Sus scrofa: one gene and its partners. The protein of the gene in region 3 interacts with the protein of the main gene of each other region in a pairwise test. Links are inferred from orthologs where the notes say so. Each region holds a gene or a part of one and is shown on either strand. Other genes may lie near its edges. The genes, in order: PBLD, PIN1, CCDC184, GPANK1, STX11 and RPL9.

The links.
Region 1: the proteins of CCDC184 (region 3) and PBLD interact in binary tests that used the Homo sapiens proteins (3 or more experiments, as listed by UniProt). The two-hybrid records come from large-scale screens. The link is inferred for Sus scrofa from reciprocal best matches to the Homo sapiens genes CCDC184 and PBLD.
Region 2: the proteins of CCDC184 (region 3) and PIN1 interact in binary tests that used the Homo sapiens proteins (3 or more experiments, as listed by UniProt). The two-hybrid records come from large-scale screens. The link is inferred for Sus scrofa from reciprocal best matches to the Homo sapiens genes CCDC184 and PIN1.
Region 4: the proteins of CCDC184 (region 3) and GPANK1 interact in binary tests that used the Homo sapiens proteins (3 or more experiments, as listed by UniProt). The two-hybrid records come from large-scale screens. The link is inferred for Sus scrofa from reciprocal best matches to the Homo sapiens genes CCDC184 and GPANK1.
Region 5: the proteins of CCDC184 (region 3) and STX11 interact in binary tests that used the Homo sapiens proteins (3 or more experiments, as listed by UniProt). The two-hybrid records come from large-scale screens. The link is inferred for Sus scrofa from reciprocal best matches to the Homo sapiens genes CCDC184 and STX11.
Region 6: the proteins of CCDC184 (region 3) and RPL9 interact in binary tests that used the Homo sapiens proteins (3 or more experiments, as listed by UniProt). The two-hybrid records come from large-scale screens. The link is inferred for Sus scrofa from reciprocal best matches to the Homo sapiens genes CCDC184 and RPL9.

The regions. Positions count from the first base shown.
Region 1 is NC_010456.5:71,442,168-71,446,544, reverse strand, and holds the end of PBLD (phenazine biosynthesis-like domain-containing protein), read left to right. Parts: intron 1-640; coding exon 641-703; intron 704-2,723; coding exon 2,724-2,836; 3' UTR 2,837-3,695; downstream 3,696-4,377.
Region 2 is NC_010444.4:68,714,287-68,719,170, forward strand, and holds the start of PIN1 (peptidyl-prolyl cis-trans isomerase NIMA-interacting 1), read left to right. Parts: upstream 1-1,611; 5' UTR 1,612-1,666; coding exon 1,667-1,724; intron 1,725-4,248; coding exon 4,249-4,461; intron 4,462-4,884. UniProt on the Homo sapiens protein: Peptidyl-prolyl cis/trans isomerase (PPIase) that binds to and isomerizes specific phosphorylated Ser/Thr-Pro (pSer/Thr-Pro) motifs.
Region 3 is NC_010447.5:78,559,453-78,564,538, forward strand, and holds CCDC184 (coiled-coil domain-containing protein 184), read left to right. Parts: upstream 1-1,719; 5' UTR 1,720-2,247; coding exon 2,248-2,835; 3' UTR 2,836-4,061; downstream 4,062-5,086.
Region 4 is NC_010449.5:23,777,354-23,782,419, reverse strand, and holds the start of GPANK1 (G patch domain and ankyrin repeat-containing protein 1), read left to right. Parts: upstream 1-2,073; 5' UTR 2,074-2,599; exon of another isoform or gene 2,600-3,012; intron 3,013-3,089; exon of another isoform or gene 3,090-3,092; 5' UTR 3,093-3,181; coding exon 3,182-3,786; intron 3,787-4,679; coding exon 4,680-5,066.
Region 5 is NC_010443.5:21,126,872-21,130,224, reverse strand, and holds the end of STX11 (syntaxin-11), read left to right. Parts: intron 1-344; coding exon 345-1,213; 3' UTR 1,214-2,354; downstream 2,355-3,353. UniProt on the Homo sapiens protein: SNARE that acts to regulate protein transport between late endosomes and the trans-Golgi network.
Region 6 is NC_010450.4:30,696,076-30,701,248, reverse strand, and holds the start of RPL9 (60S ribosomal protein L9), read left to right. Parts: upstream 1-2,059; 5' UTR 2,060-2,082; exon of another isoform or gene 2,083-2,148; intron 2,149-2,531; 5' UTR 2,532-2,532; coding exon 2,533-2,578; intron 2,579-2,668; coding exon 2,669-2,784; intron 2,785-3,772; coding exon 3,773-3,868; intron 3,869-5,125; exon of another isoform or gene 5,126-5,173. Other genes in the region: LIAS (lipoyl synthase, mitochondrial), read right to left, coding at 633-805, 1,691-1,801.

The DNA of each region.
Region 1 (4,377 bases), on a different chromosome or scaffold from region 3:
GGATGCTTGGGCACCAAGAACATTTAGTAAGTTTTCCTGAAGGATGGACTTTATCTGAACCATCCTTTTCTCTCCCAAAGACTTTCCCGTCAGTTATTACTTTCTATTTTATTTCATTTTAATATCTATTCTCTGATCTAAACCTAGAAATCATGAGGAATCAAGTGAAAAAAAAAAAAAAAAAACCTCACTTAAATTTCTTTTGGCACCAAAAACCTGGAATGTGGGCTTGGTGGAAAAATTGGCCTTTTGTCAAAGTTCCCTAGCTTTCCTTGCATGTGTGTCTTAGGAGGAAGGAGATATTTTCTCTTGAAAGATGCAGACGGATTTATGTGAAGACCTTGAGTCTCCTACTATGGGCTGACAATGAACTGGCAGACCAGACAAGAATGAAAACCTGCAATTTAATTCAGTCTTCAGAAGGTATTAGACACAGCGGATACATCTTTGGAAGGAGCTTATCCACAAATTCTTTCTTCCTTTCTATTTCCATTCATAATTCCACACTCTTTTGTGGTCACAGCCAACATAATGGCTAAGTCGTCTGCGGTCAAGCTGGAGAGTTGGTTGATTGTGAATATACCACAAGGTTACCCCTGTTTTCTTTGGGATTGTACTATAACTTTTCACTTCTTTTAAGGGTCTGCGCATACTGTTCTCAGCAGCTACTGGTCCCAGCACCTGGGGAAGAAAGACATGCATGGTAAGATAGCTCTTTTTCAAATTAAAAAAAATTTTTTGCTTAACTTTAAGCTAGTATTCCTTCTCATATGTACTGCGCACTTGAAGATGTAATAAAATATTAACTATCACCCACATGAAAGCAAAAAGTTTTTAATTCCTTCACTCTGAACCTTCTACTCAAAACATCCTCCACCCCAAACATCTTCCACCTCTGTCTCTCCCAACACACAGACACACTTCTAATACAGTAAGTGCCCAATAAATATTTGTTGAATAAGGTTAACTGGCTGTGTAATTTTGGCCCGGAAAGGTTATTTGTTTATTTATTTATTTGGCAGTGCCCGAGGCATGCAGAAGTTCCTGGGCCAGGGATCAAACCCAAGCCATAGCAGTGAAAACACCAGATCCTTAACCCACTGAGCCACCAAGGAACTCCCAGAAAGACTGTTTATAATGTGACAAGCCGAGACTGAATGATTACCAAGGTTCCTTACTGACATTGGTAGTTATGGGATTAAATCAAGCAAATTGCTTTGGAACCAAGTCTCCTAGTGATTAATGTATCATTCAAGGCAGAGAAAATAGATGGCAGCCAATGGTGGCTACACAGCTAGTAGCCTGTATGTGGTACAAGTTACATAATCAAAGTGGGAGTTTGACCTTAAAGAATGGGGGTCTTACTTAGTGGGCTGGTTAAGCCTCTGTGACCCTGATTTGGGGATAGCAGGGTGGCTGTTTTCTTCCTTTCTTCCTTCCTTCCTTCCTTTCTTTGTCTTTTTAGGGCTGAACCCTTTGCATATGGAGGTTCCCAGGCTAGGGTTCGAATAGGGGCTGTAGCCGATGGCCTATGCCACAGCCACAGCAATAGGATGTCCGAGCTGCATCTGTGACCTACACCAATGCCAGATCCTTAACTCACTGAGTGAGGCCAGGGATTGAACCTATGTCCTCATGGATGCTAGTCAGATTCCTTTCCACTGAGCCATAGCAGGAACTCTGGCTGTTCTCTTTCTTTAATGAGCCTTATCACTCCCCTAAGCTCCCAGAAGGCTGAAGCTGTGCATTATGTTTGCCTCACCCATGTGGTTGTTTGATAACAACCATGAGTGAATGAACTCCCTTTGTCCTATTCAGACCTGGGAAGATGGGGTCCTCTCTGTAGCGCCAAGAGCACCCCCCTTTATCTTCTGAGACTTTTAGTCCTAGCCTTTATCTTTTCACATGTCTTTGCTTATTGCTAGGCAGAGCCAAGGAGGAAACTATGGGTGGGGTGTGTTTGGGGCATTATAGAAACTTATAGAAGAAGTGGCCCAGGGAGGGAAGATGTGGAGTTGTATTTTGCTGATCAAATCTCATGTGTGGCTTCTCAGTCCTCAAAACAGGATGGGCTAGGCAATACCATGAGCAAATGAAGGGGTACATTCTTTAAAAAATTTTTTTAATGAATTGATTTTTATTGAGATAACATTGATTTTATGTTTTATGTGTAGATTGTATTTCTGCTTTTGTCTACCCTACAATATGCTCACCACCAAAAATCTATTATCAGACCTTTACTGTACAGTTGATCCCCTTTATCCATTTTGATCCCCCTGCCCTTCCTTGCCCCTTCCCCTCTGGTAACCACTCTCTGTTCTCTGTATCTATGTATTTCTGTTTGGCTTGTTGATTTATTTGGTTTTTGTTTGCTTTTTAACAGCTGTGCCTGCAACATATGAAGGCTCCCAGGCTAAAGGTCTAACTGGAACTGCAGCTGCCAGCTTACGCCACAGCCACAGCAACGCCAGACCCAATCCGCGTCTGCAGCCTCCATAGCAGCTCACAACAATGCTGGCTTCTTAACCTGCTGAGTGAGGCCAGGGGTCGAACCTGCATCCTCATGGATACTAGTCAGGTTCATTACCGCGGAACCATAATCGGAACATCCGTGGTGCCTGTTTGATCCTGGAAACTTCCATGTGCCACGGGTGTGGCAAAAAAAGTAAAAGGTGAAAACAGTCTTAATTTGTGAATCATTTTATGTTTTTTTTTTTTTTTAGCTTTTCAGTGTTCCAGCCGGGGAGGAGAACTGAAGATTTCACTGCGTCCTGATGGACGAGTGGACATCAAGGGAGGCGCTGCTCTGGTTTTAGAGGGCACGCTGACAGCCTAGAGGTGGTTGTGCTGTGATATTGCTATCTTAAATTACTAAGTATTTTCAGCTTAAGGGGCTGCCTTAAGCAAGCTTGCATGGTAGTCTAGTTAATCCACATTGCAAAGAGAATGATGAAGACATGTTAATGGAGATTTAATAATGCTTCCTGAATGATTAACTAATGGAGTTTGGCTCTACTTGTGAGTGTATTTGAAATGTAAGTACCCAGTAACCAAGAATAATATTGTACCCAGTACCCAAGAATAATATCGTCACCTTTGCTTATGATCACCCCTCCTGGAATGAGGAACAAATATATGAGGAACAAGATCGAACCATTTAAGCTTAGGTGTGAATACTTGATAGACTATTTTGCAGCCTATTTTTAAAAAGGTCCCTTAGGACTGGTGGCCTAGTGGGTTAAAGACCCAGCATTGTTTCTGCTGTGACTTGATTCACTGCTGTGGCATGAGTTCGATCCCTGGCCTGGCAACTTCCACATGCCTTGGGCGTGTCCAAAAAAGAAAAACATCCCAAAACTATGTGGAAATATAGAAAAATATTTCATGGTATAATACCAAGAAAGAAAACTACGGTAGACTATTAAATGTTAGCAACGTTATGCTGTGTCTGTGGAGGATATGAATTTCTATGGGCGAGGATGGAACATGAAGATACAAAAGTGAAAAGAGTTCATGTGTATCTGGGGGGTAAGATTGGAAGTAATTTTAAGGTATTTAAAAAATCATTTCCTTTACTGGGAACACACTCATGTTTAATAAATAAAAATCAAGATGTAACTAAATAAATAAAAAGCCAAGAAAATGAAAAACTATATGTGTATTAGAGTAGTAGTAAAGCTAAACATGGAAAGTAATAACTTGCCTCTTCTCAAGTTCTTTTCAGGGTGGGAATCCCCCTTGCTGTCGCTCCCAAGGATTCTGAAAGCTAGGTGCCCAGCTGGGATTGAACTCCCAGCCTGTGGGTCAGATCTGCTGCTCAGTAGTCTGACATGGTTGGTAAAAAGCAATTTGCTGCCTCCTGTGTAGAAGACACGGTGCTGAAAGCTGGAAGGGTGGAGAGCTGGCAGGGGCAGGCTGCAAAGGAGATTAGAGAGGGAGCGAGCTTATAGGGCCCTCAAGGAGCTCTAACTGGGGAACCAGGCTCCTCCTTTCATGAAAAGATAATGAGCACTTGCACCCATCTGTGGTTCAGGCGTACGTACAGCAGACACTGGGGTGCTATGGCACACTCAGGGGGTTGCTAAAGACAGGGCTTCAAAAGACTGGGGCGTGGGTGAGACTTCAGACATGAGGGCTCAAGGCATGCCTGGGTTTAGTCTAGAGTTTCTACACCTTTTTATTTATTTATTTATTTATTTATTTATTTTTTCTATTATAGTCGATTTACAATGTTCTGTCAATTTCTGCTGTATAGAGTTTCTGCATCTTGAAAGTAGATAGGTTCTATGGGGCAGAGAGAAATAAAAGAAAGTAATTATTAATATAGTTGAAAAGATAGCACGTAAGCACAAGGATAGATAAATAATTCTGAAAGCT
Region 2 (4,884 bases), on a different chromosome or scaffold from region 3:
TGAAGGGCATTGAACAGTTTTTTACAGTTCTGCCCTAAGTCTAAAATTATCTGTAAAAAAAGGAATATTATTATTATGCTAATATGTGCTTGTAAAAAAGAATCAAAATGTTACATTAGAGCTTAAGTTAGTCATTAATATATTTGAATGAATCCAGAAATTTTCTGTGATATAAAACTGCAGTTTTTACACAACTAAGTATGCATACTCTAATAACATTCATACCGTTCAGCAGCTTGCTTTTTAAGGCCTTTTTAAAGCTTTGATATCTTTCTGTAAGTGATGTCATTCTTTCAAATTAACCTTTATTTGCTGAATTTTTTTTTTTTTGGTTTTGTTATGCTTTCATACATTCTATAATTGCTACACTGTACAATGACTTTTTTTTCCACTGAGCAGCATATATCCTTGCTAAGACCAGATACTGCTTTTGAGTGCTTTATATAGATTATTAACTCATTTAATCTTTATATCAAAGGTATTTACGATATGTATTATCTCTTAAACTCATTTCACAGATGGAGAAGCTGAAGTGCAGAGGTTAAGTAATTTGTTCAAGGTAATAGCAAATGGTAGAGCTAGGCTTTGAACCCAAAGCAATCTGACTCCTGAATGCTCTTAACCTACAGCATCCTACCTCTGTAATTTGTCATAGACGTGTTCCTCTGCGTTTCATGTCACTGAGCCTCATTCTTTTCAGCGGTTACGTAAGTGCCTGTGCTATAGATGAACTGTAAGTGAACTCTTCCCTGTTGGTGTTTTGACTCCCATGTTTGTCTCCAGCCCTAGGTCTCCAACCACCTCCTTGGTGTGTCCCACATGTGCCAGACTTAAGTTTAAACTGACTCAAAACTGAGTTCCTCATCTTCCCACCTGCACCTTCCCCCTTGTCCCCATCTGAATGGCAATGCCAACACCTACCAGTCACCCAGGATGGAGACAGGAGCCAGACTGTGAGGGAATAAGTGAAGTAAAGTAGATTCTAAAGGAAGTGGAAGGTGTCTAGGTAAGTAGCATAGGGAAAGAGACTTACACAAAACTAAAAGGAGGTGGGCTAGCTTTGGGCATGTGGAAGGAACAGGTGGGAAGAGGGAGGGTGGAGAAGCCAAATTTAGGCTTCTGGGTTCTTAGCTGTTCATCACCAAGGTAACTGGGTTGCTATGGTAACAGCAAAGGCAGCGTGCCTTTTCCAAGAACCTCCTCTGCGGCGGTTACCCTCACACCAGCCAGGCACTTCCACGTGGGGGCGCCGGCTGGGGGTAGGCTTAAGAAGGCGGGAATTGCTGCGGCATTGGCCAATCGAATGGGCTCTGCAGCGAAGGACGCAAAGGCGGGGTCGAAACTTCTTTGAAGTTCGCCAAAGGGCGTTATTAGGCGGGCTCAGGTCCTTTTCCCACCACTTAGGGGCCGAGGAAAGGGGGAGGGCGGGGCTTGGGTGAGGCCCTCAAGAAGGCCCAGCCCTGGTGAAATATGTGAAGCTCCGCCTATTCCTTCTTCTGCTCAATAGGAAGCCAGAGAGTCAATCCGGACAGTTAGGGTTCCCAATGAGTGTCGTCGCCATGCCCCGGGGCGTGACGGGGCCAGCCAATCGGCGGCGGTGGTGGGCGGGCACGGGCGGCAGAGGCGGTGCGGCGGAGGTGGAGCGGGCTCTGCCGCAGGAGGGAAGATGGCGGACGAAGAGAAACTGCCACCCGGCTGGGAGAAGCGCATGAGCCGCAGCTCAGGTGCAGCGGGGGTCGGGGCTGGGGCGGGGCCGTGTGGGCCCATGGAAGCAGGGCTCTAGCTTGTCCCTCGGACGCGGGCGGCCGCTCGATTCCCGTGGGGTCTTGGCTCCTTCGCGTTGTCCCTGGGTAACGGCCCCGGCCCTCCCCGGGGCTGCGAGCCTGAGGAGCTGGGAACCCGAGGAAATTGAGGCAAGGGACTGGGTCGGAGAGGCCCGGCGCGCTGCCTGGGTGGTAGGGGGACAGTGTACCCGCGGCGCTCCCCCAGGCAATGGCCTTGGTCCTGCCGATCTTGCTGACATCTTTCAGCCTAATGCACCTGACATCCGGCGGGGGTGGGGGGGGATGTCTTTGCACCCTGCTGGGCCCAAGGGGCACCCCTGGGGAAGGACACCCCAACACCATGCTCAGGGCGTGGCCCCAGGGTGTTGCTTGGCTTCGAATCCTAAACCTCCTGCTAACGTGCCTGCCATCCACACCGAATTCTGAGTTTGCTATAATGTGAGAATTCAGGTTATCTGCCTGAGAATAGTCTCTGTGCTCGGAGCCGATTAGGGCTTTTCCCCCATAATAATGTTAATAATAGGTCTTATCTCAGTGCCAAGTATTGTGCTAAGGGTGTTAAGTGTGTACTCTGGCCACAACTCTGAGAGGTAGGGTAGTTAATAACACCCAGTTTGCCGGTGAGGAAACCGAGGCCAGAAAACTTAAGAAACTCGCCCATAGTCGTTCATTTCAGGGGCTGGGGGCTGGGTTAGATACCAGTCTAACTCCAGAGCCCCCTGCCCTTGTTACTGTAAACCTCTGAGATGCAGGCCCACCATTTCACTCCCCTGCCTCCATAGCTCATAATCATCATGGTCACAGTAATAATTCCAATTTATTGAACGCCAGGAGCTCTGTCGAGCACTTTGCACTCATCATGATGGACTCTCCACATTAACCCCATGAAGTGTTATATCTTTATTCTCTCACCTTGCCCTCACTTTTCAGATGAGTACACTCAGGTTCAGGGAGATGGAACCCATTGCCAAGGTTTTAGAGGCATTGTTTGGCTCAGCTCTGGCCCACCCTGCTTGCAGCCCTGTGGCTGGGACCTGCAGCAAAAAAGCTGATGCTCTTCTCAGTTCTGGGCCTCCACTCCTGCCATTTCTGCTCAGCTCAACCCTGACAGTCTTCCTCCTGGGTGACATCCAGCCCTTCACGGTCTTGGGCAGAAGTCCTCCATATAACCCAGACAAACTCGGCCCCTGGAATGACAGCCTATCTCTACTGGGTCCTACTTTAAGTTTCTTTCTTTTTTTTCCTTAGATAAGAAGTAGATTTATTGATACAGTGTGGGCCGTCTCAGAAGGTGAGAGCAGCCTGGAAGATGCACATTCTTTAGACAGAATATTATCTCAAAAGGCCAGAGAGTGGCCTCAGGTTTCTTGTTTGCAGCCCTCACTCCATGCTCCTTAGTCTCTGGGTAACATCTGGCCCCCAGTAATGCTGGCCCCTAGTTCTGCTGCACAGTGCACTCCAGAGGGGAAAAGAGCAGAGTTTTGGCATCTGGCACACCTGAGTACAGATCCTGCTATCTCCCCCACCACACCCCACCCCCGGCTTTTATGCCTGGAGCAGAGTAAATACCCAGGGAAGGTTGCTTAGTTTTGTGGTCTATAACATGGAGATATTAGTAGCTGCCACAGTCTTTTTTTTTTTTTTTTTTTTTTGTCTTTTTAGGGCCATACCCATGGCATATGGAAGTTCCCTGGCTTGGGGTCAAATTGGAGCTACAGCTGCTAGCCTATGCCACAGCCACAGCAATGCTATATCTGACCCACATTTGTGACCTACACCACAGCTCACGGCACCGCTGGATCCTTAACCCACTGAGCGAGGCCAGGGATCAAGTTCTCATGGATGCTAGTCTGCTTCATTAGCGCTGAGCTATGACGGGAACTCCTCCTACACTCTTAATTAAGTGTGCCAGGTGCTGTCCTAAGTACTTTGCAGATGTGAATTCATACAGTCACTCCTTCAGGCAGGTACTGTCCTTATTTTCATTTTATAGGCGAGAAAACCACGGCCCCGGGAAGGTAGATCACATGTGAGGGTGTGGTGGAGCCACAGATTTGGACCGGCCTTGCTGAATGCATGCTTGGAACCATTCTCTGTCCCTGAGGCTTCCTCTCTTCCTAACCTTCAGTTATTTTCCCCCTTGAACTTTTTTTTTTTTTTTTTTTTTTTTTGGTGGTGAAAGAAAGTGTAGCATTTATTGTAAGGCAGTACAAGTAGTCTGAGACTAGCTAGTGCTCAAAAATCCTGCACTCCCCCCTTGACCTTATTAATGACTGAAGTTGTAAGGTGGTCTCATTTGCTTCTTTGGTGTCTGTGTCCCCAGCTAGAATGCTAGCTCCCTAAGGCCTGGTGGCACTGGGGACTTGCTGAATGAAAGGTAGTTCGTCAGCCAGCCCCTGATCATGGCTTCCCAGTGGTGTCCTGTGAGCAGGTCCCAGCTGAATTCCACTTCCACCTCTTCCAGGCCGGGTGTACTACTTCAATCACATCACTAATGCCAGCCAGTGGGAGCGGCCAAGTGGCAACAGCAGTGGCGGCAGCAAAAATGGACAAGGAGAGCCCACCAGGGTCCGCTGTTCGCATCTGCTGGTCAAGCACAGCCAGTCCCGGCGGCCCTCATCCTGGCGGCAGGAGAAGATCACCCGGACTAAGGAGGAGGCTCTGGAGCTGATCAACGGTAAGCAGGGATGGAGACAGGGCTGGGGGGGTCCCTCTCCCCCCGGGGGCCAGAGCAGGCCTTGTAGGAATCATGCCAGGCTCACCAGCTCAGCTGTCAGGTGGGGCCTTGGCTGACCTGAAAATGCCTGCTCATGGCATGAGTCTGGCTCACATGGCTGCCCCTTCTTTTCCTGTCCAGCAGGTAATTGATGGTGAGTCAGGGTAGGTGGGGGGTGGACCCAGCCTTGGGGCTAGCAGACCTGGGTTCAGATGGTAGCTATACCCCAGTAAGCTTCTTGACTTTGGGAGATTCAGAGCACTTTCTTGAGGCTCAGTTTTCACTTCTGTAAAATGGGCATCATCATATACTCCAGGGGACATTGTGAAAATTCAGTGAGGTGAGACAGAGCATGGAGGGGAGGTGGGGGGACGGTGGTGGCTC
Region 3 (5,086 bases):
AATGAAGGAAGGACAGAATGAGCAAGCAAATAGGATTGAATCTTAGAAAATGCAATACTGAAGGTTTAAATACTGAAGGTTTAAAAACAAAAAAATATTTGTTTTGAGAAGTTGAATTTCTAATGGCTGCATAATACTTTGTTATACCAATAATGCCTTAGATTAAACATTCTGCTGTTTAGGATATTTCCCCATTTTAATAGCAGTAAGACATGGAATAAGCTAAACAGCTCTTTACAGTTTCTCTGGGCCAGCCCCACTCCTCATCACCAGAGAATGCAACAAAGGTAACACATTTGCTATCACTGAACCACTAGTATATGAAACACTTACCCATACCTAGCTCTTCCCCATCTTGAAGTGATACAGCTTTTCTCTTCTCCAGGTTTATTTCTTGTGAATTTCATTTTGGTTTCTGACCACTTGGCTTTTCCAATGTACTGAGGTCATTATTAGTTAGTATGCTGCTGCCCAGGTGCTGTTGTCTTCTCAGTCGAAGTCATCTGTAAATGTATTAAATTTAATTGTTCTTCCTCCTCCCTGCTTCCCACTCCACTCTTCAAAAAGGGCAATGCATTGTTACAAAGGTTGAGACACTCAGTGCATGTCTGTACATGGGTGCAGGGCCTGCTGAGAAGGAATTAAGGGTACATAGTCCCCTCATTCATCCCTTCCACACATTGTCAACAGTTCACACTTTCATCTGTAAGCTGATGCAAAGTGTTACTCAGAGTTAGAAATAATGTTACTCAATATTATGAGTAACTCAATGATGTTACTCAATACAATAATGTTACTCCATACCCAGTCCAATCCCCTAACAGATCAGGAAAGTGATTTACTCAAGGTCTCTGAATTAATAAATGACAGAAACGAAATTGCACTCAGGTTCCTAAAATCCACTACTTGTGAGCTAGAGAGTTCTGGATGAAGGTATGGTACACAGCAGTTCTTGTAAAGTATTCATTCAACAAACATATTGAGCATTATTTACTACGCCCCAGGTACTATTTTAGGTGCTGGGGATTCCGTGCTAGAGGACACAGAGGAGACAGAAATCTCTGCTCTTAACGCAGCTGTCTTTCTCAAAACTGAAGCGCTTTGCCTCACCACCCTAGAACTCCCAGTGCCCTGGGTAGAAGCGGCTGGGTCTCATATGGGAGGGAATCCCATCTTTTCTCAGCTCCTGAACTATCTACGGCGAGGGCTGATTTATTGCAGAAACAAAACGAAGTGGCGGAAACCTCTGTAGTGACAGCCTGCGCCTCCGCACCGCTAAGGCTGGCGGGGCCGGCTCCAAAGCGGCGCAGCGCTCCAACTCAAGTCTGGGATTAATAGCATCGGCCTCACTATCCTCTCTGTTTTCCTGCTGGAGGACAAAGAAGCAGACCTGGCTCTAGCGCCATCCTCAGAGAAAAGATTGCGGGCGAGTGAAAATCCTTCCAAGGCAGTAGCGCTCAGTGTCTACCACCCAGGCCAGGAGAGGGACTACGTCTCCCCCGACCTGGGGACTTAGGCAGCAAACTGCTCTCTCATGCTTCCCTATTAAACACTGCGGCCACACGCTCTTTCAGCCTCAGCTGAAGCCTCTGCAGCATCCCCACCCTACCCGCCCCCACCCGCTAGCTGAGACTCTAGAGCCCCACTGCAGCTTCCCAGCCATCCTCCCTTTTCTTTTCCACTTCCTGGTTGCCATGGAGACACACGTCATTTACGTGCCGTGCGTCGCCTTGGAAACAGAGGAGCATCCGTGGCGCGGCTGGGAGACCCGCCCCGTCACTCCAACCACACTCGCGAGCCAGCTGGTTATGACTGGGGGGAGTCCCGAGCTCGACCCTTTGCTGGCCTCGGCCTCGACCTGGGTCCCACCACAGGCGCTTCTGTGACCCCGGGAAAGGGCGACTACTTGCCGTCCTTAGCGCCCAGAGGGCGGCGCTGATTCGGGTGCAATTCGGGAGGCGAGGCAGGGCAGGGAGCGTTCGCCCCTGTGCGAGCCGGAGAGACGCCGGCCCTGGGACTGTAACCGGGTCCGCGTCCCGCCGGCTCTTCCCGGCCTGCCCCGATCCTGCCTGTGCCCTCTGCCCGGGACTCACCTCCTCACGTCGGCTCCCCGCCCCTCTCAAGAGTCTCCTCTTTCCTCGGCTCCTCCCCGCCCTCTGGGCACCTCTCCCCCTCCCCGTACCCTCCCCCACCCCGAGGCCGGGCTGGACCGGACCCGGAGCAGCCATCACCCGCTTCTGCCATTCAATGGAGGACGGTCTGCTGGAGATCATGACCAAGGACGGCGGAGACATGCCCGCACCTCTGGAGGTGTCCACCGTGCCGGCGGTGGGGGACGTGATCTCCGGGGAGTACAACGGCGGCATGAAGGAACTGATGGAGCACCTGAAAGCCCAGCTGCAGGCCCTGTTTGAGGACGTGAGGGCCATGCGGGGGGCCCTGGACGAGCAGGCCTCGCACATCCAGGTGCTCTCGGACGACGTGTGCGCCAACCAGCGAGCCATCGTCTCCATGTGCCGGATTATGACCACCGCGCCCCGCCAGGGTGGCCTGGGCGTGGTCGGCGGCAAGGGGAGCTTCCCCGGCGCCCCCCAAGAGCGGGAGACCCCTTCGCTTGGGATCGGGGACAGCGGTTTGCTGGGTCGCGATCCTGAAGACGAGGAGGACGACGATGAAGAGGAGAAGGAGATGCCCAGCTCCGCCACACCCACTAGTCACTGTGAGCGCCCCGAGAGCCCCTGTGCTGGCCACCTTGGGGGGGACGGGCCACTTGTGGAGCCCCTCGATCTGCCCGACATTACCCTGCTGCAGCTGGAGGCCGAGGCCTCTCTGTGAGGGGACTCCGAGGGGGCTCTATTTTCCCGGACTGGCTTTGGGTTTCCGAGTGCATGACGTGAGGGGACTGAACGGCGCGGTGCAACATGCTTCACGCTGCTCTTGTTGGTCAAGCAGAAGAGACTCCCTCGAGGAAGGATTTATAGGGTAAAGGACTTTGGGAGCATCAAGAATTCTTTCTGCCCAACCAAGCGAGATGCAGCAAACTGCGGAAAGGTGAGATTCCGGGAGAGGAAGCGCCCATCTCTGGACTCCCATCCAATCCCCTACCCTGCCCTTTTCCCCTCCCCAGCCAACAGGAGAACCCCTGAACTGTGTAAATAAAATTCTGCTTTTCTATTCTGAAAAAGGACTTATCTAGGACTATGGCAAATAATCTCTAACGATTTACCTAGAAGTTAAGGAATTGAGGGTATTCTGTTCTGGCAACAGAAAATTTACCCTTCTGATGAAATCCAAGCTATTCAGCGTTCTGCAGAAGCCTCTCCCCCTCACAGATCTCTGCGGCTGCTGATTGGTAAAGGAAGCTTGAGGAGGGAACTGCAGCCCTAGGAAACTGGGTGAATGGGGTTCCAAGGGCCCCTGGGCTGGGAGGAGCTGGCTATGAATGTACATGAAGACATAATAGCTCAACATCTAGGATTTTGCATGCAGAGCGGATCCTGCCTTGTCACTGACTTCATCTGGGATTGTTTTATCCATTCACTGGGGCTTAGAGAACAAAGAGCCCAGTTCACAGGCACAGACTTGAGGGTGCTCAGCAACAGCCCAGATTTAGGGGACATTTGAGGGACTCTTGGGGGCTGCAGCCAAAAACTGTCTCTCTCCTGGCTATACCCGCTTAACTTCAGTTCCTTTTCCTGTCAATACGTCCCTGCCCGCCGCCTCTCGGTGTTACCTCCATAATGTCTTGTGTGTGTTATGTGTGTCGACCTGTGTAGTAGTGTGTGAGCCCTGAGGGGCAGGGCTTGTGGCTCTGGTGTTAGGTTCAGGGGGCTTCAGACCCTTCTGTGAGCCCCAGGCTCTCATGGCGCTGTCCCCTTTCCTCTCCTCTTTTCCTCCACAACCAGGGCATGGAGCATGTGGCTGTCCTGAGGTTCCTAACTGATGCGCCTCCCTCCCACCTCCTCAAGTGGTGACTTTGTGTGCCCTTCCTCCTCCTCTGTGTATTCCTTCTCGATGCTTTCCTTGGTGTTAACCTGAATAAAGAGGCGTCATCTCCCCTCCTTGCTGACTGGTACTAAGGCAATGTCAGGGTGGGGCTTCTGGACCCACTGCATGGACAAAGACTTAGTGGGAACTATAGGAACCAGGCTTTCCCTCCTCTATTCTCGCCTCGGGTTCCAAGGAGTTGACTGTCCTTACCCTGGTCGGTATATGCATTGCCAACTCTACCTGCTTTCCCTTCCATCCTGGACCTTGACTTCAAGCTGGACTGAAGAGGGAGAGGGTATGTTTTGAGACTCCCAAACTAACAAGGATTTTTAGTAGCTAGACTCCAGACATTCAGTTGACTTCTCTTCAGTGAAGCACTTGGCCTCTGGGATATGATTTCCAAATCTGAGACCTGCAATGGTAGGCAGACATCTGTTCCATGGGAGGGCTAGGGAGGGGGATTGCTCATGAGGGATTGCCCTGGGATCTCTGGCAATAGTGACACATCACAAAGGAAACACAATAACTGCCTCAGGCCTCTAGTGGAGAATGCCGGTAAGGTGTTCCCCGGAGCTTATAGTGACATCAACTCTAGTCTGCTCCCTTGGGCATTGGAGATTTCCGAAGACTTCCCTGAACAAAATTTGGGAGAAGAATGAGCTGGGGTGCCGCACGTGCGTGCGTGCGTGCGTGCGTGCGTGTGTGTGTGTGTGTGTGTGTGTGTGTGTTCTTCCTGCTGCTTGCTACAGAGAGATGGAAAGAGCTCTGGGACTGAATCTCAGTTCCAGCAGTAAATGACTGCTTGAGACTTGGTCTCTTGCTTGAGACTTAGTTTCTGCTTGTGTAAAATGGGGACAAAATTTGTTGGGGAGAAAAATATCTAAGCCCCTCGGGAAGTTTTGTGCAAATGTTAGTTTTTGTATAGTTCTCTCAGGATAGGGGTGATGATGGCGACTGTCTCCTCTGGCAAAACACAATTACCTAGGGAAGTTTCTAGAAGCTTTCTTCTAACATAATTCTTCCTGATCTAAAGAACTCTTATCTTTCAGGATAGTCAAGTAAAGGGGATGATGAGATTCCCAAGTTGACATGTCTT
Region 4 (5,066 bases), on a different chromosome or scaffold from region 3:
TGGGGCATAGGCCAGCAGCTGCAGCTTTGATTCAACCCCCGCCTCCAAAAAAAAAAAAAAAAAAAAAAATCCTGTCCCCATTCCTGCTTCCCATCTCTAAGAGTCAGTTTTGGCCTCTCCTTAGGGGCAGCTGGCTTGCTGAGGAAGGTGGAGGCTGAACAGCTTGGGTTCTGAAGGCGCTCACAATCCCTTATGTTAACACACAGCTCTGCACGTTACAAAACATTTTAACGTGAGGTGTCTTAATTCTCCTAATAGCTACCAGAAACAGGTGCTACCGGTAGCACTGTGGTAATAAAAACATGGGTTGATGAGTCCAACATTACATTGCTGGAGGGTGGCAGGGTCAACCTGAGGCCCAGTCTTGCCTTCAGTATGAGTTAGTGAGAGAATTACTAAGGAGACTCTTTCTTAACGTGAAAGGGTTTTTACGGAAGACTGTAAAACAAGTATCTAGAAACTGAATATATACTATGCGAGAGAATGCCTGGCCAGATTATATGTGGAAAGGGACAAGGAGGTTAAGAACTCACTTCACAGAAGAATTCATTGCCACGGAGCCCACAGAACCAGGAAATCCAGGACACCTCCTCTGAGCTGCTCATCTTCACTTCAGCTAGAAAAAGAAGAGTGTCAGCCTAAGCTCTCCTCCCTGCCTCTGATATCCTCCCTCTTCCCACACTTTGCCCTCCAACCACAGAAGAATTTAGGGCCACCCTTTCTTAAAGGATCCTAGACTGGAGCAGTTCTCTCCAGCTCCTCCTATTCACACCTCAACCCCTTTTTTCAGAGACAGGAAATTCTCTGGGGTCCCAACACTTGTGTGTAACCGGCAGGTCTTGACCCATTAGTCCTATCCACATCCCTAACGCTCCCCAAGGCCAGGCCCCTCTCTCCTCTATGTCAACTCCAGCAGGGCCTGCGGCTCAGATTCCCTACCCCCGCAAGTCTCCGTTTGTCCCCGGCCCCATTCCCAAGGTTTCCGAAGTTTCTTTCCAGGCAAGAGCTAAGCTCCTCTTTTTCTCAAAGTCTGGGGATGGCAGTTAGGTCCCTTTCACGGGAGTCTCCTTATCCCGCCTCCATCCTTCAGACCACCCCCTCCTTCCTTCGGTCCCGGACCTGGTCACTTCCTTCCCCACCCCCACATCAAGGCACGGAGACCCCTTGTGCCGCGCCCAGGAACAGGGGACGCGGCGCGGCAACGACCTCAGACTCACCGGCTGGACGGGGACTGGGACCGGGGGGGCGGGGAGGGGAGGGGAGTTTCTGCTTCCAAGGAACCGCGGCGACGGCTACAACGCAGGCCGCGGATCCAACCGCGGCAGGCGAAGTGGGGCGGGGGGAGTGGAAACTGGGGAGGGTGGGGAAGAGGGCAACGCGCAAGCGCTTAAAATCGTGCGCCGCGGTGAACGCCGGGAGATGGAGTCCTCGGAAGCTAGAAACTGGCGCAACTGAGAAAGGGCGAACTACGAATCCCAGGACGACCCGCCCACGACCCTGGTGTCGCGAGGCCCCTGAGGGAAACGCTCCGGGGCGGGGCGTAGGGAGCCGCCACCGGAAGCGGAAACGCAGTACCGTGTTCTGGGCCAGGGAGCCTGGGAAATATAGTCGAGTGATCTTATCACCGTGGGGCTGAGAGGGGGCGGGGAAAGGAACAAGACAGGCTGGATCATTTACTGCCGCTCCCTCTCACACAACGAGCCTCAGGCGTGCGGCCCTGCTACCCAGACCATTGACCTCATCACCGACCAGCTGCCTGGCCCTTATCGCTTGTGGAGCCCCCCTGTCCGAGTCAGCCTGCCAAGGAGACCCTCAACGGGGCCCATATTTCACTCAAGGGTTTGATCTCCTGAGGTGGGAGGTGAGGCCGGGTTCCGCGCTGAGGGACCTGGGTAGGGTGTGCTGGCTGAGCTGAGAGGTGTGAGAATCGGGAAGGTCCCGTGCGCTAACCTGAGGTGGCGCCAGCCATTCTGTTGCTCGTCCCCTTGCACTTCTCCATTTCCTTTTAAGGCTTGAACAGGGCCTTCTGCTGCGGGTGCTAAGTGCGACCTTCCAACCCTGGTCAGATTAATGGTGAGGGGCTGCGTGACTATTTCATTTCACGGCTTCTGGGCATTCTCCGCCTCAGGGCCTTTCTTAACCCAGAGGGTGGTTTCCCAGGTCCAGAAAATGAGCTTGGAGCGGGGGCCACGTTGAGGGAGGCGAAGAGCATTGTGGGGGCGTTAGGTAAAAGCAGGACCCCAACCGACAGATATTTCTCGATCCTCGCGCTACCAGGGCACGTGGCGTTTTGCGCTTGTGTTATTGGAAAGATTCCAGGGCGGGAAATAGCCCGGAGCAGCGCGCCTGCGTGCTCCAGTATTGTTTTTGTTTGTCCCCCGCCCGCTCCCCATTCAGCTGCGCATGCGGCTTTGACTGTGGACGCCTTTGCTTAGAGTAGCGCCATTTTGCAGTACGGAAGCTGCAAAGCAACGAGTGGAACCTCCCCGCGAATCGGCTTCCTGCTTCCGGACAAATGTCAAGTCTGTTTTTGTTTAAGAATACCCCGAAATAGGATCCAGGAAGATTTAAAGAGCCAGGCTGATTGTTTTCCTTAATGGTATGTCCCGCGCAGTTGTAAAGTAGTTTCAGAGAAAGGCTGTTATTATTGATGGTGAGGATGGAGTGGGGGCAGAGCACAGGACTTCTGGGCAACTGTCTTACAGAGTCTACTTTGTTAACCTTTACTAAGGGGCATGGTCTGTTACCATAGGGTTTCCTATTTTTACACAATCCGTGGTCCTCGGGGTTCACTTTCCGCGTAGGAGGGTTTTTGTTTGTTTTTGTCTTTAGGGCTGCACCGGTGGCATATGGAGGCTCCCAGGCTAGAAATGGAATTGGAGCTACAGCTGCTGGCCTACACCACAGCCACAGCAACGCAGGATCCAGCCGTGTCTGCAACCTACACCACAGCTCACAGCAACGCCGGATCCTTAACCCACTGATCTGAGGCCAGGGATCGAATCTAATCAGGTTTGTTAACCACTGAGCCACGAAGGGAACTCCCGGGAGGGGATTTTTGATTCTAAGGATACTTGTTTTTATCCCAGCAGGTGTCTGTAGGTGATTCTGGTCATTGCAGGACCATCTGGGACTTGGCTTCCCCCTGCCTAATCTCATTTTCCCAACTCTCCCCAAAGCCATGTCCGGGTCCTCCCTCATTAACTTTACCCCAGCCACTGACCCCAGTGATCTCTGGAAAGATGGGCAACTGCAGTCACACCCTGAAGAGCTGGAGCCCACCCTGGATGGGGCTGCAGCCCGGGCTTTCTATGAAGCTTTGATTGGGGACGAGGACAGCACCCCTGAGCCCCAGAGATCTCAGCCTGAGCCTGCTAGAAAGAGGAAGAAAAGACGAACGATGAGGGAGACTACAGCAGGAGCATCAGGAGAAGATGGACAAAGGAGATCCCTTGAGGCAGAGGACAAGATGACCCAGCAGATACTGAGGGCAGCCCAGGAGGGGGACCTGGCAAAACTGAAAAAGCTGTTGGATCCCCATGAGGCAGGGGGAGCTGGAGGGAATATCAACGCTCGAGATGCTTTCTGGTGGACCCCACTGATGTGTGCTGCCCGAGCAGGCCAGGGGGCAGCTGTGCGCTATCTCCTGGGCCGTGGGGCGGCCTGGGTGGGGGTCTGCGAGCTGGGTGGCAGGGATGCTGCTCAGCTGGCGGAAGAAGCAGGCTTCCCTGAAGTGGCCCGCATGGTCAGAGAGAGCCCCGGAGAGACAAGGAGTCCAGAGAACCGGTAAGGGGAAGCCTTATCTTTCATTGTGTTCTGCCCTTCCTCACACTTCACACAGGAGGCCACAGAATAGAGCCAAAGGGTTTACTTTCCTGTTCCCTAATGTAGGCTGATCGGGCAGTGTGATTATGAACAGGATACTCCCTTGGATTATTTTTTATATAAAACATTTTTTTCATTAAAAAAAAAATTGGGGTAGTTCCCATTGCGGCTCAGTGGTAACAAACCCAACTAGTATCCATGAGGACGAGGGTTCAGTCCCTGACCTCAGTGGGTTAAGATCTTGGCATTGTCGTGTGGTGTAGATCTCACATGAGGCTCGGATCTCACATGGCTGTGGTTGTAGCATAGGCCAGCAGCTACAGCTCTGATTTGGCCCCTAGTCTGGGGACTTCCACATGCCGCAGGTGTGGCCCTAAAAAAGACAAAAAAAATTTTAAGTTTTTTAATTGAAGTATAGTTCACGTATATTTGCTATATTCCCACATTGCATGGGCTCCTTGGGTTTAAATCCTGACTGTACTTACGTGGGCAAGCAACCTAACCCATGTGCCTCAGTTTCCTCATCTAAGAAATGGAGCAATAAAAGCACCTTTCTCTTAGGGTTGTTAGGGTCAAATAGGTTAATATATGTAAAGTGCTAGAAAAGCACCTGTCCCATACTAAGCACTATACCAACACTAGCTATGGTCACTATTGTTATTTTTCATCACCCAAGAACTTTGTGAAGCCTTTTTAACATCTGTTGGCTCAACTATTCCCTTTTGGGTCTCTTATCATGAAGTGGGGAGGAAGGCAATTTGTTCCTCAGCAGAAATACAGGAAGGACCTAACCCTGCCACCCTCCTGAGGCCTCAATCCTTGTGTTGCCCTTAACCATTCTTTTTTCTTTGCAGGCCCCGATCCCTCTCCCCCCAGTACTGTGAGACCTGTGATGCCCACTTCCAAGACTCTAACCACCGTACATCCACCGCTCACCTGCTCTCACTGTCCCGGGATCTCCAGCCCCCCAACCTGCCCCTTGGGGTGCCTACCTCCAGCCCAGGCTTTAAGCTTCTCCTAAGGGGGGGTTGGGAGCCTGGAAAGGGACTGGGACCCCAAGGTCAAGGCCGTGCCAACCCCATCCCCACTGTCCTCAAAAGGGACCAGGAAGGATTAGGCTATAGATCAGCAGCCCAACCCCGAGTTACACATTTCTCAGCTTGGGATACACGGGCGGTGGCAGGGAGGGAGAGAGTCCCTAGATTGACCACACTGAACCAGAAGGAGAAGAGAAGGCAGGA
Region 5 (3,353 bases), on a different chromosome or scaffold from region 3:
ATGAAGCATGTAAAGGAAGAAAAAGAGTTGGGTTCCCAAAGCACTCTAAAATTTGAAATTGCTGATTGTATTCTGGGCACCTCTACTATTGAACTGCAGATTCCTACCTACCAGCTGTAAAATACAAATGTGTTCATGACTCTTAGTCACATTAGTCCTTTATACTCATAAGAAAAATGTCATGGGACATTTAACTCCTTTACCGCGTTTATTACCTATACCCAAGAGTAAAGAATCTGGAGTGCTAAGCAGTAAGCAGAATGTTTATTTTAATCTTCAATTCCCTCAACGCAAAATATTTGACTCTCCCTAGAGGAATTTAACCTCAGTATCTCTACTTGCAGGCAAAATGAAGGACCGGCTAGTAGAACTTTTGGAGTTAACCAAGCACTATGACCAGCAGTTCCCAGAAAAGGACGATGACTTTGACTCACCTCACGAGGACATCGTGTTTGAGACGGACCACATCCTGGAATCCTTGTACCGAGACATCCAGGAGCTTCAGGATGAAAACCAGCAGCTGTTTACTGACGTGAAGCGGCTGGGAAAGCAGAACGCCCGCTTCCTCACGTCCATGCGGCGTCTCAGCAGCATCAAGCGTGACACCAACTCGATTGCCAAGGACATCAAGGCCCGGGGTGAGAGCATCCACCGCAAGCTGAGCGCCATGAAGGCGCTGAGCGAGGAGGCGCAGGCAAAGCACGGTGAGCACTCGGCTGTGGCGCGCATCGCGCAGGCGCAGTACAGCGCGCTCGCCCGCACCTTCCAGGCTGCCATGCACGAGTACAACCAGGCCGAGATGAAGCAGCGCGAAAACTGTAAGATCCGCATCCAGCGCCAGCTGGAGATCATGGGCAAGGATGTCTCGAGCAACCAGATAGAGGACATGTTCGAACAAGGCAAATGGGACGTGTTCTCCGAGAACCTGCTGGCTGATGTGAAGGGCGCGCGGGCGGCCCTCAATGAGATCGAGAACCGCCACCGCGAGATGCTGCGGCTGGAGAGCCGCATCCGCGACCTGCATGACCTCTTCCTGCAGATGGCCATGCTGGTGGAGCAGCAGGCTGACACCTTGGACGTCATCGAGTTCAACGTGCAGAAGACCCTTGACTACACCGGCCAGGCCAAGGTGCAGGTGCGCAAGGCGGTGCAGTACAAAAAGAAGAATCCCTGCCGGACCATCTGCTGCTTCTGCTGCCCCTGCCTGAACTAGCAGGCCTGCAACACCTGATCCCAGACCTGAAAGGGCTAGTAAGCACCCTGGGAAAGATGTTGAGGCCATTTGCACTGGGATGAGTTGCTCTAATGCCTATGGACCTCGCTCTTTAGAGAAAGAAAACACTCAAGGTCCAAGAATTCCAGCCCAGCTCGAACTTGGAAAGAGGGTACATGTCACCCCATTGTTTCTTCAGTAAGGACAGATACCTCCTGAAATTTTGTGAGATCATTATATGGCACATAAACACCCTCGCCTCTTAACGGAAGCCAAATGAGGAACTGACATTGTAGTGTACTCTACGGTAAATGTCCAAGGCACGTTTGCTCATGAACCTCTAGGAGGAAGTCAAATTGTGCATCAGCCCATTGTGTAAGGACTGGTTATTAAAACTTCAATTCATTTACCCTGTCCTGAAAGTACCTTGGTTCTATTCATTTTCGAGTGAAATTGACCTTGGGAAAAACTGCACATCTTCCTTTTCTTACTCTTTATCTGGTTTATGCTATGTGATTCCCACATGGATGTGTATCTTCTTTCTGCTCACCTCCTCTACTTGTTTAAATCACAAGTATCACTGTTTCCTCAACTCTTTATATTCTATCAGAATATATTTGGAGATTTTTTTCCAAATGTTTTTAAGCACTGAGTATTGAACAAGCACTCAAATTAAAGTTTGTATGTCACATTATATATATTTTTCATAAATAAAAATAATTTAAAATTTCTTTTTACTTGATTTTTACAAATGCATATATATATAAATGTAAAGTACAAATATTTACTAATGCATGTACATAATACCAATTGGTTTAACTTTACTTTTGTAAATATGGTATATAAATATCCAGGAAAATATTTTTACTGGTTATTAGTGTTGATTTGCTTGTTTCATCTGCATCTCAGTAGTCCAGTTTGGGTCAAAACTTGGTTTTGAACATCTCTGTCTTGGTTATGGTGATAAAGACAGATAAAATTCTGAAAATGCATACAAAACTAGAGATAATAAAAATGGTCTTAAAAGTAATTACTTTTGTTTTACTGTGGCCCATTCCTTTCATGCATTCAAATGTGGTAATTTAAAATAAAAGAATCCTGTTTTTCAAGTTAGTGGAATAAACACATTATAAACATCCTTTTTTATGCATTTGTGTCTTGACCATTTAAATCTTAGTCTACTTTTTCAATTATTGTCTACTAGCTGCCTGAGGTTGCAACATCTGGATGAAACTCTGAATAGAGGGGGGAAATGAAAATTAATTCACATGGGGGTGTGTTGCTTTCTCTCCTGAGTTATTTACAATAGTTTAACAAAATCATCCTGTTTTGGAGATCTGGTTTTGTTTGCAAACTTTGTAATGCCCTGACTCACATTTACCATGTTTTCTGTCTTTAAGTCAACTCTTAACTCTTTCCACTCGCTATTTAATAAACGAGAGTTTATTCAATGGTCGTTATTCCCAGAGTTTTCAGACAGTGAAACTTTAATAGAAATAGAAAGAAGAGTATGTGAACTCTTTGGAACTCACTGACTAGCCTGCTTATGACTGTGAAATCTAGCCCTGCTCCTAATTTTAATTTCATGGTTAAATATGAGAATTGTGGAAACCAAGTCCCACTAGGCTTTTCTCAGATTTCTCTCATTTCTTTCTCAGCTAATTCCAGAGATGTGTTTCACCTTTGACTTAATTCCCTTTCTCTAAAAAAAAATCTTCAAACAGATTCATTGCTCTGTCTTTGATAAGAGGCAAGAGATTTTGTAAATATAGTCCATCAGCTAGTTTCCACAAAAGAGAATAGTTGATGAATTCAACCCATAAAGCATTTTCTGCATTTAGAGCCATTCATAAAAGTCAAAGAGTTTGCTGGCTCTGTGTATTTTTTAATTGCCCACATTTCTCATTGGAGAATTAGGTAAAAACTTTAATATACCAGAATTAGTGAACTGTTGGCTATGAAAAGGCAAGAATTTTTCTTCCTGCTTTTTAGTAACTATCAGGTGTGGCATAGCAATTAAGAACACAAAATCAGACCCTACTCTCTGGGTTTAAATCATGACTTTGCCGTATAGCTGTATGACTTGAGGGCATTATTTAACCTCTCTGCACCTCAGTTTCCTCATCTGTAAAATGGTTAT
Region 6 (5,173 bases), on a different chromosome or scaffold from region 3:
AAACCCGCATCCTCATGGACACTATGTCAGGTTCTTAACCTATTGAGCCACAAGAGAACTCCTAGAATTTTCATTCATACCTTTTTTGGATAAATCATGCCTCATTCATTTATTTATTTACTTTTGGATGCACCCATTGCATGTGAAAGTTCCCAGATCAGGGACTGAACCCTTGCTGCAATTTCTGCAACTTAACCTGCTTCATCACAAACTTTCTCACCATTCTTTTAAATTATCCATAGATCACATGTACACTGACTAGGAGAAGCAACAAGCTAGATCATCAACGTCCTGTAACAACGAAAAACTTATTAAAATCTAATGGAGTAGTAGCAAGGTGATTATCTTTGCTCTCAGAAGAAACTGGTTGCTAGATGGCAAATTGGAGAGGGTGTAGGATGGCTAAGTCCTAAGAATGTTGGAGAAAAACTGTCAGAGGGCACGAAGAAAAGTACTCCAACAATTTCACCCATTTACCTGCTCCATGTCTGCTTTCACTTCTTTCTAATGGTTTTTAAATAATTTTAAATCAAATAAGTCTGATTAAAAATATACCCTATGGCTTGGTAATATCAGAAAATAATGCACAATGAAGGAATAGGACATTAAAATTACCTCAAAATTTCAATTACCTTTCTCCTTTCTGGCGTTTTAGGTTTCCTTTATAGTCATCCCAGGTGCTCTTGTCTGCAAGATCACCAGATAGAAAATCTTGAAGGTCTGGTCCATTCTGTAAAAATTCCTTTTTTTTATCTGGCAAGGAACTTATTGCTCTGACTGGACTGCATAAATATCTTCCAAATACCTACAGAAAGAGTTCATTGTGACATTTATTTAGGGGGCTTTGGAATAACTTAGTATTAAACTCGTTTAATACCTAAAAGGATGGGTAAAGCCACAGAACTGATTCAGAAATTATGTTAATCTATTTACGAGCTCAATGTAAGGAGCTCAGAATCTGAAATTAAAGATGACCCAAGGAGAACAAACCAAACCCAAAGGAGAATGGGAGCTACAGCTTTGAATTTTCTATTCCTGACTTGAGTCAAGTATGTTTAAATGAAATTTGAAATTAATCTCTCTGCTTTGGGCTTGAATAAGAATACCTGCTAAAACACGGAGGTAGTTCTCAGCTGATTTCAGAGAAGTGGAAGAAGGGAAACTAAACCTAATGTTTTAATTTTCTTGGTTATACTGTGTGTGAACAAGGAAGTCACTCATGTATTTGTTGACCATAAGAAGCCATCGGTTTCTAGATTTGAACACATACATGTACAAGACAGACAAAACACCATAAAATTCAAGAGGTAGTACTGTTAAAGCAAAAGAACCTTCAACTATTAAAAAAAAAAAAAAAAAAAAAAAAGAGTGCCTATTAGGATGCTGCACGATAGCTACTGTACTTGCCCAGGTCTCTCGCTCAAGCCTGGAGCACAGACTTGGGTTTTAATCGCCCAAAGTGGTGTCTAGTACACAGGAGACACCAACACCAAGTAGTAATTTGGAGTTTCATTGCAGCGCTTCTATAGTGCTCCAATAAATACAAGAGTACAAATCATTGCATTGATAGCAGGAAAAAAGGTCTCAGAGCGCGGGCCACAGACTTACAAAAAAACCAGTATCAGGTCTTAACTTCATGACCATGTCAGAATTAAATGAGACGCTATACGAAAAATGTTTAGAACAGTACCTGGCTAGAAGTAAACGCCGGGTAAGCGCTGGCATTATCGGGCACTTTCAGGGATGGGAACCCCCACCCCACGCCCGCTCCCTTTTCGCCCCGCCGCTCACCCGGGGGCATACAGTGCGGACGGCGCCCCGGCAGCGTAGAGCCATCCTGCACTTTTTTTTTCTGGCAGGGAGGAACAATCACTAATTCCCGGGAAAAGAGAAGGACACACCGTCGCTCCACTTATGACAAACAACCTGAGCCAACACTGACCCGGTGGAACCTGCGCTGCTCTACGATTGGCTGCTTTAGCCTCGTGGTGTCGCGCGCTTATGACGCCATACGCAGGACCCTTACGTACTACAAAAGCGTGATGACGAAAGACGCTCTCTCTTTGCCGCATCTACTGCGAGGTAAGGTGGATTCTGTATTCGGTGGGCCTTGGGAATCTGAAGGCATCGGCTTTGGGAAAGCCAGAGGTGCGGGTGTGGCCCTCGGAAACCGTGTCTTGTTTGTCTCCCTGCGCGGCGAGCGTCATATGAGTCTGGTGGCGATGGGGTTCGAGCCTTGTATTGGGCTTTTAGGCCTACTGCCGCCCTTCAGCCTTGCCGGGATGGCGCCGACTTGATAGGACTTCCCAGAGCTGCGCTGACCGGGAGTTCGCCCGCTGGGTTTTTAATAACTGTTTAGGAGCTGCTCCTTCCAAGCCAAGGCGCAGCTGGGGCCGTTTCCGGGATTAGTCCTCTGTATCCTCCCCGAGATTTTTGCCTGCCGGTCTCTGGTAGGAGTGGAGTTCTGTGCAAGGTAGTTCGGCCCAAAACAAATCCTGTGCGACCTTCTTACCCAAGTGTTTGTGTTTCAGAATGAAGACCATTCTCAGCAATCAGACTGTCGACATTCCAGAAAATGGTAGGAGACTTGGTGCTTGCTTTTTTCATATGTTTTTACTGCGTGCGTTCTAATTTGTTTCGATGCCTCACGAGTATGTTTCTTTCATAGTCGACATCACACTAAAAGGACGCACAGTCATTGTGAAGGGCCCCAGAGGCACTCTGAGGAGGGACTTCAACCACATCAATGTAGAACTCAGTCTCCTTGGAAAGAAAAAGAAGAGGGTGAGTTTTGTTTAATCACCTCAGTTTGTTTGGAAAGTTGTAATTTAAGAATATCAAGTTGTTTTAAAAACTACAGAATTGAGCAGCAACATGGATGGAATAGAGACTCATACCAAGTGAGGTACGTTAGAGAAAGACATACCATTTGATGGATAATTTTTTCTCTGGAGTCTAACAGCACCAAAGAATTTACCTACAGAAAAGAAACTCTTGGACTTGGGGAACAGACTATTGGTTCTAGTCTGTTCTAGTCTAGGCGGAGGGAGTGGGATGGACTGGGAGTTTGGGGTTAGTAGATGCAAACATTGCATTTGGAGTGGATAAGCAATGAGATCCTGCTGTACAGCATAGGGAACTACAGTCACTTGTGATGGAACATGAAGGAGGATAATGTGAGAAAAGGAATGAATATTTATATGTATGAATGAGTGACTTTAAAGCAGAAGTTGATGGAATGTTGTAAGTCAACCATAATAGAAGAAATAAAAACTTTTGAGAAATTATGGAATTGAGGTTCAATGTTTTATCTTATAATTTAGTGTCCAAAATTGTAACTAGTTTTTTTTTTTGTTGTCGGTGCTTTAGTGAAATTGGAAAACCAAAGTAAACTGGGTTATAAACCTCAGTACTGGTAATATTTATTAAATAGCAGGCCTTAATACTGTTAGAAATTGGGTTTATTTTTCTTGATTGTTTTGTAAGGATCATAGTGGTGCAGCAGAGTTCTTTTGAACCTGGTATTTTAGCTTTCCAGAAGTGAAGTTTGATGCAACTTGTACAAAACTTTCTGGGTTGTTCCTCTGTGAAAGTGTATACTTCTAATGTATAGTAACAAAAACCGTTAATTGCTGAGGGCTTTGTGGTTGCTTTTTTTTTTTGTAATTAGGACAAATACTAGAATCTAGAGTAATTACTGTGGATAAATGGACCTTATTTCAAGGCTACTTAATACTGGAAAGAATTTTCTGAAGTTTTTGTTCTGTTACAGCTCCGGGTTGACAAATGGTGGGGAAATAGAAAGGAACTGGCAACTGTTCGCACCATCTGTAGTCATGTACAGAATATGATCAAGGGTGTTACACTGGTAAGCAGATTAATCAGACTTCTTGTCTTAGAAGGGGGAGGTTTGTCAGCTATCTTTATGTATGCAACATAAATGTCTATTGTAGAAAATACTTTGTGCGAGTAACTTATACTTGCATATAACTTAGCGGCTGTAGTATTTTGGAAAAGGTGATCTTGGCAAATGTGTTAGGTATTCCTGGGTCTTATGATAAAGGGAGATACATAAGTCTAGACCAGATGGTCTTGATAATACGCTGATTATATATATATTTGTTTTACCCGAAAGATAACATTCACAATTTCAGGGGGGTTTTTAATAGAAAATGTTAACACATAGAATGGTTGGTTTCTTGTCTTATGCCTCTCACCACCAGGGTATCTTGTGGGAATTAGGGAAAGATTAAGTCTTATTTCTGAGCTTTCAGTCTTTAAGGTAAAGTTGATTCTGGATATTTGCTGGAGTGTTTCTGTTTCAGCCTTTCTAGAGCGCAATCTGATAGCGGCACCCTGTACGCAACTCCATTATAAGCCTTTCAGGCCATGTCTCCCCTTGTGTTTCCAGTCTTTGTTTGCGGGGGGCGGCGGTGGTGTCTTGATATTCTCAATTCTGGCCCTCTGGCATACCATAGTAATTCAGTATGTTAGCCTAATGCCCAAGATGAAGGGCTTTAGAGTTATACTTTAATAGGAGGCTAGCATTGTTCACCACGGGCAAAGGAGGTAGTAAAATATCTGCTTCCTTAGGAGCTTTGCAGTCCATTGAGGAGACAGAAACAAATGTATTTAAAATTGTTCTGAGGGAGTTCCCTTTGTGATTCAGCAGTTACAGACCGAACTAGTGTCCATGAGGATGTGGGTTCTATCCCTGGCCTTGCTCAGTGGGTTAAGGATCTGGCGTTGCTGTGGCTGTGGTGTAGACTGGCAGGTGCAGCCATAAAAAGCAAAAAATAAATAAAATTGCTGTGAAGCTTTGGTGTGGGTGATAGTTTAAAAAAATGACAATGATGGGAGTTCCCGTCGTGGCTCAGTGGTTAACCATGAGGTTGTGGGTTCTATCCCTGGCCTTGCTCAGTGGGTTAAGGATCTGGCATTGCCAAGAGCTGTAGTGTAGGTTGCAGACTCGGCTCAGATCTCGTGTTGCTGTGGCTCTGGCATAGACTGGCAGCTACAGCTCCAATTAGACCCCTAGCCTGGGAACCCCATATGCCGTGGGAGCAGCCCTAGAAAAAGCAAAAATAGACCAAAAAAAAAAAAAAAAAAAAAAGACAACGAATGCTATGTGAGGAAGAGAAATCAAAGTTTAATAATGTGTATGCAACGGAGA